Arabidopsis thaliana: one gene and its partners. The protein of the gene in region 2 interacts with the protein of the main gene of each other region in a pairwise test. Each region holds a gene or a part of one and is shown on either strand. Other genes may lie near its edges. The genes, in order: RPA1A, RPA2 and DML1.

What was found.
Region 1: the proteins of RPA2 (region 2) and RPA1A interact in a two-hybrid assay, tested with the Arabidopsis thaliana proteins (one study listed by BioGRID).
Region 3: the proteins of RPA2 (region 2) and DML1 interact in a two-hybrid assay, tested with the Arabidopsis thaliana proteins (one study listed by BioGRID).

What each region holds. Positions count from the first base shown.
Region 1 is NC_003071.7:2,582,898-2,588,215, reverse strand, and holds RPA1A (replication protein A 1A), read right to left. Parts: upstream 3,233-5,318; 5' UTR 3,122-3,232; intron 3,034-3,121; 5' UTR 3,002-3,033; coding exon 2,730-3,001; intron 2,266-2,729; coding exon 615-2,265; 3' UTR 530-614; downstream 1-529. Other genes in the region: PSBX (photosystem II subunit X), read left to right, coding at 1-348; AT2G06500 (hAT family dimerization domain-containing protein), read left to right, coding at 4,993-5,036, 5,066-5,262. UniProt on the Arabidopsis thaliana protein: Component of the replication protein A complex (RPA) required for DNA recombination, repair and replication. The activity of RPA is mediated by single-stranded DNA binding and protein interactions.
Region 2 is NC_003071.7:10,396,778-10,402,479, reverse strand, and holds RPA2 (replicon protein A2), read left to right. Parts: upstream 1-1,981; 5' UTR 1,982-2,063; coding exon 2,064-2,168; intron 2,169-2,311; coding exon 2,312-2,422; intron 2,423-2,517; coding exon 2,518-2,618; intron 2,619-2,723; coding exon 2,724-2,765; intron 2,766-2,853; coding exon 2,854-2,931; intron 2,932-3,053; coding exon 3,054-3,132; intron 3,133-3,221; coding exon 3,222-3,308; intron 3,309-3,406; coding exon 3,407-3,492; intron 3,493-3,570; coding exon 3,571-3,639; intron 3,640-3,747; coding exon 3,748-3,829; 3' UTR 3,830-4,010; exon of another isoform or gene 4,011-4,076; intron 4,077-4,295; coding exon of another isoform or gene 4,296-4,892; 3' UTR 4,893-5,103; downstream 5,104-5,702. Other genes in the region: FZF (Zinc finger protein 622), read left to right, coding at 1-437, 515-684, 772-981, 1,065-1,221; AT2G24480 (Zinc finger, C3HC4 type (RING finger) family protein), read right to left, coding at 4,296-4,892. UniProt on the Arabidopsis thaliana protein: Component of the replication protein A complex (RPA) required for DNA recombination, repair and replication. The activity of RPA is mediated by single-stranded DNA binding and protein interactions. Required fo cell division in meristems.
Region 3 is NC_003071.7:15,308,729-15,316,621, forward strand, and holds the start of DML1 (demeter-like 1), read right to left. Parts: upstream 6,080-7,893; 5' UTR 5,870-6,079; intron 5,628-5,869; 5' UTR 5,545-5,627; coding exon 5,411-5,544; intron 5,328-5,410; coding exon 5,212-5,327; intron 5,110-5,211; coding exon 3,979-5,109; intron 3,886-3,978; coding exon 3,514-3,885; intron 3,409-3,513; coding exon 3,318-3,408; intron 3,225-3,317; coding exon 2,327-3,224; intron 2,253-2,326; coding exon 2,173-2,252; intron 2,051-2,172; coding exon 1,966-2,050; intron 1,889-1,965; coding exon 1,797-1,888; intron 1,721-1,796; coding exon 1,652-1,720; intron 1,563-1,651; coding exon 1,526-1,562; intron 1,442-1,525; coding exon 1,359-1,441; intron 1,201-1,358; coding exon 775-1,200; intron 573-774; coding exon 536-572; intron 445-535; coding exon 387-444; intron 314-386; coding exon 174-313; intron 95-173; coding exon 29-94; intron 1-28. UniProt on the Arabidopsis thaliana protein: Bifunctional DNA glycosylase/lyase, which excises 5-methylcytosine (5-meC) and 5-hydroxymethylcytosine (5-hmeC), leaving an apyrimidinic (AP) site that is subsequently incised by the lyase activity.

The DNA of each region.
Region 1 (5,318 bases), 7.8 Mb from region 2:
GCTTCTACCTCCGCGATGTCATTGGTCACACCACTTAACCAGACCCGTTCGTCTCCTTTCCTTAAGCCATTACCTCTGAAACCATCCAAGGCTTTGGTTGCAACTGGAGGCAGAGCACAGAGGCTTCAAGTTAAGGCCCTCAAGATGGACAAGGCTTTGACCGGTATCTCCGCGGCTGCTCTTACTGCTTCGATGGTGATTCCGGAGATAGCTGAAGCTGCTGGTTCTGGAATCTCTCCTTCCCTCAAGAATTTCTTGCTCAGCATTGCTTCTGGTGGCCTCGTCCTCACTGTCATCATTGGTGTCGTCGTCGGCGTCTCCAACTTTGACCCTGTCAAGAGAACCTAAGACCTATATATCTTTCTTACATCATTATTGTAATCTGTTCTCCTTCTGTGTATTCGTTTCAATGTTGCAGCAATGAACTTTTGGATAAAAGTCAAATTTGTTGTTTCCTGAATTCGAAAGACGATTGAGACTTGAAATCATAACACTAAGCTTCATTGAATCAAGATTCAATAGAATTCATCAATTCATAATATAATAGTGTACTAAACTCGAGCTTGCATATTCTGAGTTAATTGAAATACCTCACTGTAATACCTAGAACGAACTTACCTTACGAGCAAATCAAGCATGTATTTACTCTCGGATGTATAATTCACCTTATCAACCTTCACAACAGTCATCTTCACTCTTTGTTCATCCCCATACGATTCCTCTTTGATCTTCAGCTTCAACATGTACTGATGAAACAGTCTGTCTCTAACAATCTCTGCGAACTCTTCCTCCTTCTCCAATTCGTATTTCATTGCGTAAAGCTTCTTAGCCGGACATCCCATTATTTCTTCTCCTGTTTCTTGAAACGCGGTTATCCAAGTCAACCCAGTGTGGTCTTGAATCTGTACCTGAAGAAGGTATCTATAGTCGCATTCATCAGACTCTTGGTTGCACCGGTCACAGAGCCACCTGTTTGTTCCAGACCGTGTAACCTTCTTGTTGCATTGTTTATCCCCGATCATCAAAGGACAAGCTGTATAACAGAAGCTATCTGTTTTGATGAATGATATGGTTGCTTTCACAGTGATCCAGTCAGGCTTATCTGATCTTCCAAGACCTTCCTCTTTGATCTGAGAAACATTTTTCCTTATCTCGTTCCTGGAAACTCCTCCAGGCATAGTGTCCCTGGAGATGGAGAAGGAAGCAGTGTCTTTTCCCCCGTAATCGAACCAGGTCCGTAGTTTATGAGCTTCAGGGAAATCTGGATTTATGAAGAGCTGTGTTGAAGATATTGTCCCTACTGATTTCCCACTGAAGTCGCTTACTTTTCCAGCTTTTATTGCTAAAACCGGGTGAAAAGCTGAATCAACCATCTCTTCCAGTTGCCGACCATCTCGGTTACAGAATTCTCCCCAAAGTGTTACCTCTACAGCCTTTCCTGATTCATCCTTTAGATTCAGGATCCTCCTATGGGTTTCCATCCCGTTCTTTCTCAAGATTGGCACCGAGGGGTTCACAGAAGTCACCACACCAATGACATCGAGTATGGTATTGTTCTCAGCGTTCTCAATGTCACTTATTGGGCGGAAGGAGAATTGCTGCTTTGGTATGGAGCCATCTTCATCAGGGCAAAGCTCCACAGTCGATGTTGACTCCAAGAAAATTTCCCATTCATTCTTTAAGTGGTTGAAATTTTTCTGTGCAGGCTTCAAACTTCCCTTTGAAATCAAATATACCTTACCAACCTCAGTAACATCATAGAAACGGTCAACAAGAGCATTAAAGCACGTAACCCGAATCTCCCCTCCATCATAGTCAAGCAGATCAAACGAGAAAACCTTTCCATCTCCTTTTGCATTGTTATATCGTCTGATATCTCCTTTCGCAGTTACTCTAGCCTTAATAGCCCATCGACCTTGGTATGGATTGAGAGCAGCAATAGGGATGACTCGAGCTGGAGCCTCGTTCTTCATGATGGGTCCATGATTTCTGTAACTTGCAGGCGGTTGATATGAAGGTTGAACAGATGGCCTGAAGCTTGGAGTATTGTTGGCTTGATTTTGAATGTTTACACCCCTGGGAGGTGCTCTATTAACAGAATGCTGAACCATTGGTTCATTAAAAACAACCCTGTTCGGAGGCGGTATATTGCCCGTACCTGAAAATGTCTTCTGGGCTTCTGTATCTGTTTCTCCAAATATTGTAGGGTTCCCAATGGTTTCAGACTGTTGTACTATCGTCTCCATGTTCAGCACCACAATAAGCCTGTACACAGTATGAATAAATCCATAAGAAAATCACAATCAAAGAGAGCAAAACTCCTTCAAATATGTCATGTTCAACCAAAACAATTGTGTAACTATATTTTCCAACTCACACAATCAACAAAATCATCTCCATTATCATCCTAAATGTTGTCCTTAACATCTGCCTACCAACCATTAAATACCATGAACTACAAAGACAACAACACAAATCTTTCCCACTAGTACATGTTAACCAAAATCATTCATCAATACACGAAACCTCATTGAAAGGTCTCTACCAAAAGCGAAGCTATCATTGCTTCTGCAAACTCATTGTAACAAATGCCTTACACATACTAAACCAAATACATAGCCACGAATACTCAGAAACATTACTAAGCAACAAATCAGAGATCACTAGAAAACTAAGCAATTCAACACAACGAAAACTAGATCTAACCAGAGAGAAAATGGAAAAATTACTTGCGGCCTTTAACGTCGCTACAAATGTAATCAATCAGCTGAACGATAGATCCTTTCTCAAATTGTCCTGACTTGACTCGATCATTAAGCTGAACCGCGACCATAGCATGTTGAGCAGAAACACCATCTGAAATGAGGAAACGATACCTCTCCTGGCTTCTCTCTTGACTTCTTCCTATCATTTTGATTTCTAAAACCTGTAACAACGGCTTCAAATTCACGTCGCCGTCATGTATCGCCGTGATTGCGTTCGGAGTCAAACTCACCGGCATGATTGTGATTTTTTAGATCCCGGCGCGAAACCCTAGAAAAATTGAAAAAATCGATAAACCGGAGGAGGAGTTAGGAAATATTCTATGGAGAAATAGAGCGTGAGGAAGACGAGATTTGACCTAGACGGTGGTGGTGGTGGTGACTGTTAGGAGATTCCTCCGAAAGCTTTGCTGAATTTTGCGGGAGAAGCTTAAAAGATGTTGTTTTGGGTCGCAAAACAGTTTATGGAGATTTTTCAATTTTGAAATTTTTTGGTTGATATTTCAGTGTAAAACTACTAATTTACCCTCGACTCGTAACTGTGAACGACTTGGATTAAATTCTCGAAAGAGAGAAAGACTATAGAACCCCTTAGAACATCCTTATTGGTAAGCTCAGACTAGTTCTTATGTTAATTAGATTAGAAATTTAATGTTTTAATTGATTTCTTTGGTAAGAATTGCTCTTATATAAGAGCAAAAATTAAATCTAAGAGCTAGACATGTGTCAAGTTTTTATTGGGTGAGTGTAAAATATTAACTACATTGTTAAATGTTTTCAAAATTTATGTTGTAATCATTATTAAAGTCTTTAAAATTAAAATGTTTTTATTTTTAAATATTTTTTTTTCTTCTTAAGAACTCAAAGCTAAGAACTCACCATTGCATATTACCAAAATTATAATTTCTTAACCAAACTCTTAACATAAAAGATTTCAAAATTAATTATATATATACCTATGAACTACCCTAAGAATAATCTAAGCAATCCCCAATAATGATGCTCTTAGAGCATCCACAATGGGAGGCTATTAGCAATGACTCTTAGCAATATTTTTATTAATTGATATTGAAAATTTGTAGTTAAGAGTTTGGTAAGAGTTTTAATTTTTGGCATGATTAATAGTAGTATATTAATTTGGGGTTTTTAAAAAAAAGAAAAAAATTAGATTCAAAACCAACAAATTAATTAGCTCAACAAATGTTTAATCACTATAAAATATCAAGAATCTCTCAAAAGAATCTCTCAATAGAATGAGATTTCGAATGAACAACATGTTATACCTTCTCAAATTACTCAAGAACAGACTTAGCAACTTCTCACTTTTGTTCAAAAGAGCATCTAGCGTCATCATTGGCACCAAAGCTCTAACCACTATGTTTAAAAAAAAAAAACATACAAGAACAAATCAAGAATCGTAAACAGAGCTAATTCTTCAACAACAACAAAAATATCAAGAAAGAAGCAAAAAGTTACCATTAAACACATAAGCTTGGATCTGCTCTCTAGGGTTTTGAAGCTCATAAAACACATCATCTGTACTAGCTTTCACTACACAACAACAACAAGAACCAAAAAAACTAATTTACATGAATCTCACCACATATTAACCAAAATTCCAAAAGGATGAAAAAGAATAAGTGATCATGAACCTTAGTTTTGATTTCAATTTTGGTTACAGCTGACAGAGTCGACTGCAAAAAAGGAACAAATTGAAAAGACTACATGATGAAAACAAAATCGATGAAAAACAAAACCAAATATGATCGTCAATAATCAAAAAGGTAAACAAAAAAGAAACAGAACCCAAGTAATTTATTAGATTAGCCAATTCATAGACACAATTTTGATAACAAGCTAAAACCTGGCAATTATCAAACAAATCAAGTTATCATCAGAAATTTTGAAATTACCAACCAACCAACCATATGAGAAATAGATTGAGACAATCATGCAGGGCCGGCCCGTGACGTAAGCGATATAAGCGGTGGCTTAGGGCCCAAAAATTTTAAAGTCCAACGAGGCTTAATTAAAAGAGAGTTGAGAAGAAAAAATCTGATTTTCAACCCAAGACTTCTAAAGCCCATCAACCAATTCTCTTATTCTAGGTTTCCTCCATTAAAAATCTGATTAATTCCATCTGCCGTGAAGAAGCAAGCGACCGACGTACGTTAGAGCGTTGAGTTGAGACTTTGAACGATGCCTCCTTTAGGGATCAAAAAGGAACCTCATGGATGTGATAAAAGAAAATTGCAAAAGAGACGAGAAGAGTTGGTAAGATCACAGGCTAATTCTCTTCTTAGGTACATGAAAAAACCTGAAAATCCTACAATTTCTGAAGTCATTAATTCTGATGGAAACAATAACCAACAAGAACGAGCTGATGAAGTGGATCCAGAGAATAAAGTGGACAATTTGGATGAAGTGGTTCAAGTGGATGAGAATGAATTTGAGAATAAACAACAAGAACAAGCTGAAGTTGTCTTTGAAAAGAAGAAAAGTCGATAGAATGAAGACATTCCTTCCAATATTTCTTATCCGGCGAATTGGGATAAC
Region 2 (5,702 bases):
TCTGTAACAAAGGTTACAGGAGTTCCAAGGCTCATGAGCAGCATCTTAAGTCGAAGAGTCATGTTTTGAAGGCTTCGACGAGTACTGGAGAGGAGGATAAAGCGATCATCAAGCAGCTTCCGCCTCGTCGTGTTGAGAAGAATAACACTGCTCAATTGAAGGGTTCGATTGAGGAGGAAGAGAGTGAAGATGAATGGATTGAGGTTGATTCGGATGAGGATTTGGATGCGGAAATGAATGAGGATGGTGAAGAAGAAGATATGGATGAAGATGGTATTGAATTTGAGTTGGATCCGGCTTGTTGTTTGATGTGTGATAAGAAGCATAAGACTATAGAGAAATGTATGGTTCATATGCATAAGTTTCATGGGTTCTTCATTCCTGATATTGAGTACTTGAAGGATCCTAAAGGGTTTCTGACCTACCTCGGTCTAAAGGTTTGTGCTTTGTGCTTAGTCTGTCTTAGATCTTTGTTTTTCTTTGCTACTTAGTACTTACATGGTTGTTGTTTCAGGTCAAGAGAGACTTCGTGTGTCTGTACTGCAATGAATTGTGCCATCCATTTAGTAGTTTGGAAGCTGTTCGTAAGCATATGGACGCCAAAGGTCATTGCAAAGTGCATTATGGTGATGGTGGTGATGAAGAAGATGCAGAACTTGAAGAGTTCTATGACTACAGCAGCAGGTTCCATTTCTTCTGCTTTCTCCTCTGTTGTTGGTGTCTAAATGTGCTTGAACTAATTGTGTCTTCTTTTGATGTGTGTTTGTACAGCTATGTCAATGGAGACGAAAATCAGATGGTTGTGTCCGGTGAGTCAGTGAACACTGTAGAGCTTTTTGGTGGGTCTGAGCTTGTGATCACCAAGAGAACCGATAACAAAGTAACGTCTAGGACTCTTGGGTCTCGAGAATTCATGCGCTACTACAAACAGAAGCCAGCACCGTCTTCTCAGAAGCATATTGTCAACTCTCTAACCTCCAGGTTTGTCTTTAACCGATCAGAGATCATTTATCACTGTCTCTGTGTAGAATTTGAATCTGACGTGAATGGGTCTTAAAACACAGGTACAAGATGATGGGTCTAGCAACAGTGCAGTCAAAGGAGGCCATAGTGAGGATGAAGGTGATGAGAGAGATGAACAAAAGAGGAGCGAAAAGCAGTGTCAGGCTCGGAATGAAGAGCAACGTCATCAGGAATCTGCCCAACAATGTCACCTATTAGTCTTGCTCCTCGATTTTCAGGTCTCTCCTCTTTGTTTGATTTTGTGACCAGAGTTTTGGTGAGTAAATCTATCTAAGTTTTTCACTAGTACTCAAGTATCTTAGGCCCATTTGGGTCTCTGTTTTGTCTGATTTAGTCTTTTGAAAATGTTACGTTTTGGCTGAGTTTGTATCTCTTGCCCAGTGCTTTGTACACTCTACATTAATCTATATTTCATTTGGTAGAAGATCAAGAGCTAATCAATCTTTATCTGCTAAATCATAAATCTAGTACACTTTTCACTTATCTATACATTTGTTTTAGATAACGAATGCTCTCGACTTCACTTTCTCTAGCTATCTTGATAAATTGTATAAAGGTAAATGCACAGGTCGATTTACGAGTTCCTCACAAACCGCGAGTAAATCTCGACACGAATATCTTGCATCATCCACTATATCTCTTTATTATTTATCACTCTATTGCTCTCTCTTACAGGCACTACTGTTTCAAAAGAGAGAGGAACAAGTTTAAAGCCTAACTCTTTCCAAAGTCCAACAGCCCAACTTCACAGGAGCCCATCGAAATCATAAGTCTTCTAAACCGGAAAGCTTTTGAGTCGAATAAACTGAACTGAGAGTAAACCGGAGAACTGAATTTATTAAAAAGTAATTATATTATAGATTTACCTCGCCCTAATTGGCGGGAAGCTCTAATCAAAATTGGAGGGAAAATCCCCCAAAAATTCTTTCGTCGCTATTAAAATTCCCCCAAAATCTTCTCTTCCCTTTACTTTGATCACTTTTCAACTTCCTAAATCTCTTCACAGTTACTTTCGATTTTCCGATTTCGTAGCTTCGAAAATGTTCTCCAGCAGCCAATTCGAGCCTAATTCCGGCTTCTCCGGCGGCGGATTCATGTCTTCTCAACCTTCTCAAGCCTACGAATCCTCCTCCTCCACCGCTAAGGTAATATAATCCATCTTCCATTTCGTTCAATTCCACCGATTAGGCTACAGATCGAAAGTTTCCGAATCGCTAAACGTTTCTCTGTAACAATCGATTTTGGAATTGCTAAATCTGCTCTGTATATGTTTTGTGGGAATATGCAGAATCGTGATTTTCAAGGTCTTGTTCCAGTGACGGTGAAGCAAATCACCGAATGTTTCCAATCCAGTGGTGAAAAATCTGGTCTCGTCATCAATGGAATCTCACTAACAAACGTAAATACCATTTCTAGATCTCTTTGTTTATTACCGTTATTCGTCAATATGGTCAAACTTTTACTCAATTGTGTGATGTTTTTGGTATAATTCAGGTTTCACTTGTTGGATTAGTGTGTGACAAAGATGAATCTAAAGTCACAGAAGTTAGATTCACTCTTGATGATGGAACAGGACGAATTGACTGTAAAAGATGGTAAATACTCGGAAACTTTACCTTTTGATAGATGCAAGAGTTGTTTTTCGGTGCAGTGGTTAGTTTATGAAGTTTGTAATTGGTGTTGTTGTGCCTTTCTTATAGGGTGAGTGAAACTTTCGACGCTAGAGAAATGGAGTCTGTGCGGTTAGTATCTTTGGTTTTTGTTTGATTTATGTGGTGAGATCACATTTTTGGTTTTGGATGTGTTTTCTAATTGTTAGCTGTGAAACAGAGATGGAACTTATGTGCGCCTCAGTGGTCATTTGAAGACTTTTCAGGGCAAAACTCAGCTTCTTGTTTTCTCTGTGAGGTATGTTTTGTATTTTTGGTTGTGAAATGCTTTTGATTCCGTTACCATTGGCAATAGACGTTGGTATGTTCTGTATAAGCTTTGTTAGATATTTATATGAAATCGTCTGTTTTGTGTTGCAGGCCTATTATGGACTTCAATGAGGTTACTTTTCACTACATTGAGTGTATACACTTCTACTCCCAGAACTCTGAATCACAGGTAAAGAAAATGCAATATAGCAAAAGATAAATTGTGTTGTTCACAATTTGCAATCGAACCTCCCTCTCTGACTTGTGCTTTCTCAATAGAGACAACAAGTCGGTGATGTCACTCAGTCAGTTAACACCACATTTCAAGGTGGATCAAACACAAACCAGGCAACACTATTGAACCCTGTATGATGAATTCACCAAGTTTTTTTTTTTTTGGTTTTCTTCATGACATTTGTTTCTGTACTTAGAAATAGAATCTCATTATTGTTGCTCGTTTTTAGGTGGTTTCTTCTCAAAACAATGATGGCAATGGGCGCAAGAACTTGGATGATATGATTCTAGACTATCTAAAGCAACCTGCTTGCACGTGAGTTTGAATTTTCTCATTGCTGCCCCCATTGCTCCACTTAAAAAACTGGTCTAATAATAGTTCTGTTCACTGCAGTGCAAGACAACAGGGGATACATATCGATGAAATTGCTCAGCAGTTGAAGATCCCAAAAAACAAGCTAGAGTATGCTTTTTTTCTTTCTTTCTCCTTATAACATCTATCTCTCTTTATTACATTCAGAGTTGTTGAGCTCATGAGTTTGCTTTGTTTTTTTTACTGATGTGTTTATAGGGGCGTTGTTCAATCACTGGAAGGAGATGGTCTAATATACTCGACAATCGATGAGTATCACTTCAAGCACGTGGAGCTTTGATCTATCTAATAGTCATCTAGAGTTTGGTTAATCCGTAGATAGAGTCATTAGTATTGTCTGGTGATTTAAAAGATGTTTCAATATCCAGAACTATTAGGATCACGTCTAGTTCACTTCTGAAACTTTGGTAGTGTCATGCTTAATTCTGGTGTTGGATTGTTTCCTTGTTTCTTTCAATTTGGTAAGCCAACTTCAAAAGTTCAAAGTTGATTTTTTGTTTAATCTGAAACTATATTTGGTTTAAGACAGCGTTTTGTGTTGCAATGTCGCATACTAGAATCAAACTTGTAAATGAAACTGCAATTACATGTTACCAACAAAAACAGATACATAAACTCTGAAAACCCTAATTTGCCTCTAGACAAAACAATGAAACATAAAAGTGAAAACCCTAAACACACTTCCGAAACAAGCTAAGTTTACAAAGTCACTAAAGACCACAAAATAAAACCCTAATTAGACTCTGCTATTTGTCAACAGGTTTGCGACAGAGAGGGCAAGAGTTATTATGACCAATCACCCACTTGGTGACACATCCTTCATGATAACAATGCTTACAATAAGGCATCTGGCAATAATTCTCAGATCTCGACATATTCTCCAAACAGATTGCACAAGTCTCCGATTCTTCTTCTTGGTCCACATCTGTTGCTGACGGAGAAGAAATACAAGGGACAACACTGTATACCTTTTGAGTCAATTTGACAGAGACAATCATGAATAAAGGTTGTTGTTGTGAGTAAAAACTTTGACTTCTTTGTCGTTGGGCTTCGACAATCTTAGAAGATATCTGTTCGGACATGACATGATCGTGGAGTTGGCTTTGGAGACGGTGAAAGACGTCGTTTGGTTTAAAACATGGTAGTTTCAGAGAGATTAGTGGGTCGTGGCAAGAAGAATCAGGGTAAGAACCGAGACTCGTGACACTATCATCTTTCTCTTTAATGAGAAATTCCTCGACTTCTCTATGTAGACTGATTACTACGGTGCTTAAGAACCCTAATGACCGACCTTGAGACCAAGCCTGAACATGAACATCGAGTTTGAATGATTCAGTATCCATTCTCGTAGTGAAAATTAGACAAAAAATCAGAGAGAAAGATGATTCGTAAAAGATTAGATGAGAGAGGAGATTGTAGTGAAATCTGAAATTGTGGAGAAGTGAATGTGTAATGTTATGTTTATATAAGCAAAACTCTGATTATAATTGTTCGAACGCGTTAATTGTAATTTCCTTTCTTTATTCTAACCGTTAATGTAATTTCCTTTTCTCCATATTACCTTGTTTCCTTTTTTTCTTGTTGGTAAAACATCTCGTTATACCAGAGTGCTTAAACCAAACCATTTTTCCTATTGTAATTTGCCGGTTTATATTGTGTTGTTTGATTTTCCTCAAATACTTTAACTAATAACCAAAATATATATATATATATATATATTTTTTTTTGGATAACCCAGGTATCCCAAGCCCAATGGGCCCAGACTAGCCCACTGCGTGCGTCCCGAAGACGGCAAGAGTAGTTCTTCAAATACTTTAACTAATAACCAAAATATATTTTGTTACAATAATAAAGAGATTGTTAGATAAATTGTGATATTTCACAATCTCTTTGATTTTTTTTTTTTTTTTCTGGTTATCATCATGTTGATGTGCTAATTGTGTTATATGTTACTTGGGAGCAACCTAATATTTTATCAAATGCTTTTTAAAGACCTCTATAGTATTCATGTTTTCTCTGACTTAAGCTGGCAAAAACATATTTCAAGTGAAAAGTTGCTTTTCGTGTAGAAAATTGGATTATCCAAAACGCTAATGTGTTCAACATACTTGAAAAGAGTGGTTTATGTGCTGCAATCATCGAAAGTTTTAGGG
Region 3 (7,893 bases), 4.9 Mb from region 2:
GTTGGAGTTATTGGAGTTCAAGTCTTACCTCATTTACTTGAAAGTACGTTCCATTTAGAGGAAAACTACCCCTCATCGCTGTTCTACAAGGAATCTGTACAATTTACAACATATTAATCTGTAGAAAACATAAGTGTAGTAAGCCGCATAAGGAGATTGATGCAACTACTTACCAAAATTGTCCCTCTCACAATTTGAGATCTAGTCTCCTTGATGCTGTTGCAGGAGAAACAAGTCTCCTCGTCACAAAGCATACCATTTGCTTGGAATATGCACGTACTAACAGACGGTTGAATAGAATCAGCCGTCTCACCTGTTGAATAACACATCGATTAAAGATACCGATTTGATTTCATGATTAAAAGATATGCAAATCATTAAATTACCTGGCGTCCATATAGCAAGCAAATAAGAACATGGATCATCAGGTTCTCTCTTTTCCAACTGCCACAAGAAATCACAAACAGCTAGTCAGATTTTACAATATAGACAGCACTCTATACGGCATGTGTCCTTATCCAGTTAGCTCACATACCTGAGCTAGAAGAGGATGCTCGTCTGGAAGTTCGTAACTGCAAGATACGGGAAAAGAAACAAGTTATGGCATAGCCTGTAATTATTGGGAAGTTTGTCTGCTTTCCAACTTACGAGTTCATGCTTGGTCAATCACTTAAATATTCTACTCTGTTCAAGCTTTAATAATTTTGAAAAATGTGTTTCTGATTTCATTTTTAACCTAAGAACGAAGAAAAACAGAGAAAAATGGATTCTTACACTCGGTGTTCTGTCCTTAACTGGCTGATATTCTTGAGCTTAGGCATTGGAAGAGAAGCAGTTTCAGCAGTAAGTGCAACTAAAGCGCTGGACATGTTTCCGTCTTGAAGTTCCTTGTTGTGTTCCATTATCTTCTTCAAGTTACTGGTAAATGCATCCATGTTTAGCCTGATGGTAGGAATTTCTTCTGGATCCTCAAAAAACGCCTCCTCTATGTCAGCTATTGATACTTCTGCGGTTTCTGGCTCCGGTGAAGCAGGCTCTTCGATGATTGGTTCACAACATGTGACCTTTTTTGCTGGTTCTGAGTGCTGTACTACTTCAGACCCTTGCTCTCTCTGGAATGGCTCTGGCAGGTGTAGAGGCAAAGGGTTTTTATCAGGTGTCCCCATACCTTTCTCTGTACTTGGTAAAGCAAGCCTTGCACTGTAAAACAAATGAATGTTACTAAATTTTCTGTAATGATGATTCAGAGCTTCGTTTAGATACAGACCAATTCTCATTTAACTGGGTTATATTTTAACAAGGACTTTCCTCATAGAGTCATAGTGGTACTAAAGGTTTAAGAGAACATGTTGTAGCACCTTGCAAACGCACTGGCAAAATGTCTGCATTCTCCTTTCATCGGACATGCATTGCAATTAGGTTTGCTCTTTGTGCAAAAGACCTGATACAATAATCAAGCAGATTACAAACCTCATCATGTGAGCTGATTTTGACATACGTATATATGTATTTCTTTAATACATACCTTTCCAAAAGTAATCATCTGGTAGTGCAACTCATACCTGTGAGATAATAGGGTATTAAACTAATGAATAAGTGTATTAGACTGAGGCATGAAAAAAAAAAAGTTAGTGATAAACATCATTCTTACAATGTTTTTTGGTCGAGTTTGCAGAGACGGGGCCAAAGATACTTTTGAATAGATTCAAGCATAGGATACCTAGACAAACCAAACCTCAGATGTATTAAGTAACAAATTACAATTTCCAAGTAGGACCATTTTGAAAAGTGCTTACATTTCCAGAAGATGCAACTGAAGTGACTCTGGGAGCGGCTGAAGGGGCACCCATCCAAGTCTGACGGCTATGCGCCCAACATTTGTATCAACCTGTCAATAAATTAAGTTCATGCATCATATAATTCACTTTTTATAGGGACAGAAACAAAAGTTTGATCCTTGCTTACTGGAAAGGCAAGATGGTGAAGTGTTAGAAGCCGCACACACTCCACACTTTTCAGTCCCAATCCGTTAAAGCTCAGAAGATATTCTCTGCAGGGTTTTGTAATATACGAGAGTACATAATTCATTATTAAGTCACTAAAACTGCCAAAGTAGTAATCTTTGTATAGGTTAATAAAGAAGAAATAAAATGCTTCGTCTTTCAAACTTACTTTGCTTTATCTGGTGGAACATCTCTCAACCATTCAAGATCGATACTTCCATGGTCATTTACCAGTCGATCAAGGAAGCCCTGCATGATTTTCATGTTCAGAGTCAAATACTTAAAATGAATGTTATCACGAAATTTAGCCACTAAATTTTTACCTGTATACGTTCTGCAAGTTTATGGTTCATCCCGCGACTCTTGATTGTTTCAGCAACTTCCTTAACATCTGCTGCTCGTATTGCCTTCCAATCCACGGTGTCCATTGTACTTCTTGTTTTTTCTCTAATTCCTGCTCTAGCTTGGGCTTCTCTTCTTAAACAATCCCAGTCAAACGCTTTTTTTTCCTCCTTCAAAACCTTTTTCCCTTTTTCTTTTAAGGTAGGTTTCTGACAACTCAAAACATCCCCATCTTGCTGAGAGCAACAACCAGGTTCACTACTATCAACAGAGGATTTTGTGGGCTCTTTCATTGACTGGAAACCCTTAATTTCTGAGCTACAATCACCCGGAGACATATTTGGTGATACTTGATTGGAATCTTCTAGAGAGACTTGTACCCCCTGTAGGAGCTTCATAAAGGAAGTACGATACTCTCCTTCTAAGTCGATCTCTGAGCTTGATCCTGCTCTCTCTGTATTTTGAGGAGCATCAGACACCATCGAATGTTGACATGTAAGTGCAGAATCTTCAGATGGAAACAGGTTCAGGACACGACACTTCTCATCCGTCTTATCAACCTCTACACTTGAGCCTTTTCGATCTGAATCAACATACTCCTTTGAATCCGTGGTTTTGTCAACTGATTCATGGGCTGAGATGGCAATCTCACTACTGCTTCTGGAGGTTTCATTGCTAGGTACATAATCCTTCTCCTCATCAGGCTGTGTATTTTTCAAAGTAACAGAACTGTGATTGTGATCGGGTGGGCTTGACATCGTTTCCTCTGAGTCCAAGTACGTTATTTGAATAGAAGGCATCGAGCTTGTTCCAGCGTCAAAGTTACTGCTCGGTACAAAAGGGACAGGGAACTGGGAAGCCAACGACATGAAAGCCGAACTACAAGGAGTAAAAAACATCAAAGCAAGTTAGTTTTGTGACTTTTTGCTGTCTTGGATTTAGTTTGACATAGAATTATGTAAGAGCTTGTACCTTGAGAGATGGTCTGAAACATTTTGAGTGAGAAATACTCCAACAACAGAATCCACGACGGATCCCTTCCAAGGCGTAAAACGTCGATCCCCTGTTAGAAACCAAAGACCATAACAAGAAGCAGTAGCTGAGACATACTAATTGAAACCATGTGGTTAGAACAGAAACACATAAAAGGACAAGTGTGGTGTATAACCTTGTACAAGGTGCATCCTTGCAATAAATGAGTCAGCTCGTCCTCGAAACACATTACGTTCTTCCTCCCACCATTTCGCCTTCTGCTCGTCTGATCCGTCAACACCTTCGCTATTAATATTCTCCAATAGCAGTTTCCACACTCTGTCTGTCTCATCGTCTAGATCAACCTTTGGTCGTGGGCGTGGTTTTTTAACAGGAGTTACAGGCACAATTGCTCCAGCGCCACCACCAAAGAGTACAATCTGGCTATTCATTGTGTAAGGAACGAGAGCAGTTTCAGAATGCTCCCTGTTGATGTCTAATAGACGCAATAGCTCACTGATTGTTTCGATCGAGTTACGTCGTTTCCAAAGTTCATCTGGAGAAAGACCTGCAGGAATCAAACATCATCATTATCAAGAAATAGTCTGCATTTAACAGATTCAAAAAAACAAAGAAATATAGTTCTGTATCTATTCATTACCAGTAAATGAAGGTGGAAAACGGCAAAGATTCGGAAGAAGATTTTTCTGTTTGGTTTGTGATTTCTCAGACTTGGTTGGCTTCTTTTTGCTCACAGTCACCCGCGTATCAACAAGAATCTTATTATTTTGCTGTGGCTTGCTACAATATCCTGAGGTTAAATGCTCAGGAACTTCCACAAGTTTATTCATTGAAGACAAATTCCGGAATCGAGCATGGCCTGTTGTTTTCTTCTTGATCGGCGTGTCTATCTTATCCGAGAGAACATTTAGCTCAGACTCTTGCCTTCCTTGAAAGATACCTTCTCGTCTTTCTTCAACGGTTAGGACTCTATTAGCACTGAGCTGAGATGTGGAACTGTAGCACGTAGCGTGAAAGGCAGAAACATAATTGTGCTGTTGTCCAGAGAATACTTTGCTGCAAATGGCATCATATCTCATCCCTCCCTGTTGCAAGTTTGGGGAATACAACCAATGCATTTTCTGGTAGTCACATTGCTCATCATACTGAATCCCTGATAGATTCATGTCGCAACAAGTTGGTCCTTGTCTTCTCTTTGCAGCTTGCGCCATCGAAATATCGACTTCTTCTAGATTACTGCCATTTTTCTTTGGTTGAACTCCCTTTCTTTTACCTTGGCTGCGCTTTCTCTTGGGCGTGCTAGGAGCCGAAAGAAGGCAATCTTTTAACTCTTGATTCCCAGAATCTAACTGCTTCTCTTGAAGAGCTGATTCCATCTCACCTGCTTCTCTAATGTCACCGTTGGTCTGGTTTTCTCCATTTTCGGCTTCAAAATCCAAGACTCGTCTACAGAGCCTCTTAGGACGAGTTGAAGTTTCAACAGCTGCTGATGATTCAACCGGAGTAGCGTCTTGATCCTTACTGACTTCAACCTTCTTCCGCACATATTTCCTCTTTGGTGTTTTGCTTTCTTGACCATCGGTGACAACAGACTTCCTCGGAGCTCGTGGTTTAGGCTCCCTCTTGGGTTTAGCTTCTCTACGAACCTTTGGCCGATGCTTCTTCCTCTTAGGTTTTTCAGGAGTCTTGAGGATCTGTTCAGCAACATTGTTACTCACTGAGCTCAAACTCTCCACTTCTTCAGTACCTTTTTGCATAACCTCTGTGTTTCCTACATTGAGAATCACATCTTTCTCAGTCCAACTCAAACAGAATCAAAATTTGACAAAGCGATTTCATTTCTCATGAGACCAGAATCAAAATCCCCTCTTACTTGTAGGTATTGGAGTCTGACCAGAGAATATGAGGGATGCAGTGTTAGCTAGAGCAAGCAAATCCCCAAAAGACAAGTGATCAAGACCACTCATATCCTTGTTCCCAACAAATCTCCTGCATGCATCAATACCTTACTTAACCAATTACCCATCACTACTCTTTGAAATTTCTCAACTTTAGAACAAAAAAGCACAAACCTTTCCTCCAATTGACTGCTATGATATTGATCCTCCACCGTGTATGGGCAGATCGGTGAAAATGGCTTCATGGGTGTCTGAGGAATCCATGGAGGTTGTTGAAAGCTGCTTTCTTCTCTCCTCTGTTTCTCCATTTCTGACTCTATTTTTACTTTTCTTCACTCTTACTTAAATCAGAACCATTTGAGAAAAAGCTTGGAACTTTCTATTTTTTCCACTGCAAAAAGTTCAATAATTTCTTCAATAAAAGAGATCACCAATTTTTTTTAAAAATCACGATTTTATAAAATGATCAGATCCACTTTTTTCTGGGGTTTTAGAGAAAGAGAGATCTCCGGAAGTCATTGATTTTGGGTGAGTGGCGACATGAACGATTAATCCGTTCGTTAGGTGAAAGAGAGACTTTTTAGATTCACAACAAAATGTAAAAAAAAGTAAGAAAAAAACAAAATTCATTACCAGTAGAATCAATGGTTATGGTGGTGATGGAGAGAGTTAGTTCGGTGGTAGCTATGAGAGGATAAGATCACTGATGCTTCGTTTCTTCTCTTGGAATCGATGAAGTTAAAGAGTAATATAGAAAAAGCTTTTTTGGCCTAACGTATAAAGAAGAGGATATAACATGTGTTGTTGTGTGTTTCACTATTTTTCATAACCGTTTGTTTATGTAGGGCGAAAGTTCGTTTGGTTGGCGGGAAAAGTTTTACGGAATTTTATTTTAAAAATAATGATTCTTTTCTACAAAATCTCCTAGACTATGGGAAAGATGATTTAAAAAGTTAATAATATTGTCGTTGTTATCGTCATCGTCATCATCGTCTTTTCTGTTATCTTTTTCTCTTTAAAATTTCGTATTTTTTCTCGTTTACGTAACTATTTAAAATTATATGAACTAACTAATTTTATAATTAATAGAAATTATAAAATAATCTTAATTTTGCTTTAGATATAAAATAATTAGAACTTTATTTATAAATTTATCATCAAATTATGATTTAAACAAATAACATGTTATGTAATCCACGTTTATAATTTTGATCAATAATATATTATTTTGCTAATTTTTACGTAATCTCATAAATTTACACGTTTTCGTTTACATATGCAGAAGTTAAATGATTCGTTTTAGAATTATTATTTTCCACTGATATGGGAGCTAGTGTAGTAGAGTGATTATTAGGCTAGTTGCCCAACGAGTCTTTCGTTTTTGATCATTCCAAATGTTTTAGTCTAGTACGATAGGAGTCAAAATACTGCACCATATGTGTGAAACTGTGAATGTGTGTGAAAAAAAGAGTAATTAGTGTGCTAACCTTTGATTTCCTGTCATGCAAGAAACCTTCAAAGAGACGTACATGAGAAATGAGTATTGTAAATCATTTATTTCATGGACTTGGTTGGAATCTTAGTGAATCGTTGTTGTCAATCTTAACAACTTGTTGGATTGGTTATGAGCCTATGACTTATGACTTATGAGTGAGTCAATGGTGGTCATAACCTAATGATTGGGTTATGAGCAAAGAAATTTGGAATTTGTAAAAAAAAAAAAAAAAATCAAGAGCTTTTTTGTGTGGACATATCTATCCTAGAAACTGAGACGAATAATAGTGGATAAAAAGTTGGGAACGGATTATTCGAATGTTTAAAACTATTATTGAAAACAATACAACTAAATATGGTACAAAAGTAAACGAATTCGTATAGCTAAACCTAATTCAAATTACGAAGCTAATCCATACTTGGATCCTAAACGCTTTTACTTTTACTTACGGTTTCTTTTTCAAAAAAGTTTTTACAAATTTGGGTTTGTCTTATGAAGATTATGGCAGAAGAGACTGATCAAAAGTGAATGCCTAATTCGGTTTAATCCATTCAAGTTTATCTTAAACAATGAAACTGACCATGAAAGTGAATTCAAAGACCAAATCAAAGAAAAATTAAACTGATTTAGTTGTAATATTGGTATTGAATTAAACTATAAATAGAAATAACCAAACATATAACCACAAAAGAAGACTATTTATATAAATATATGAGTTGGAAGTCATTTTTGGACTATTATATAAGATCTAATTATCACACGACGTGTGGATGTATGGTTAGCAGAGTTGTGTTCAGAGAGTTCGATAAAGCCATCACTCCAAACATACAAAATATCCATACATTGATCCACCAATATAACCGGCTGTGTGCCAAGCAAAGTGAAGCTTAGGCCTAACTAGGGTTCTCAAAAGTTCAAAATATAAAAAATATTTTGGCGTCGACCTTAAAGTCCTTGCTTCATCGACTATAGTCTAAAGCCGGCATGCCTAAAAACCTCATATAAATCGTCGCTTGTTACTCGATCATACTCTGTAACTATAAATATCCTGATCTTAATTATAACTTGAAATACTACTAATCTACGAATCTATCATGTAACCTGTTTACTAGTTTTTATTTAATATAATCAAGGAGATAGGTCACTTGAAAACAAAGACGCC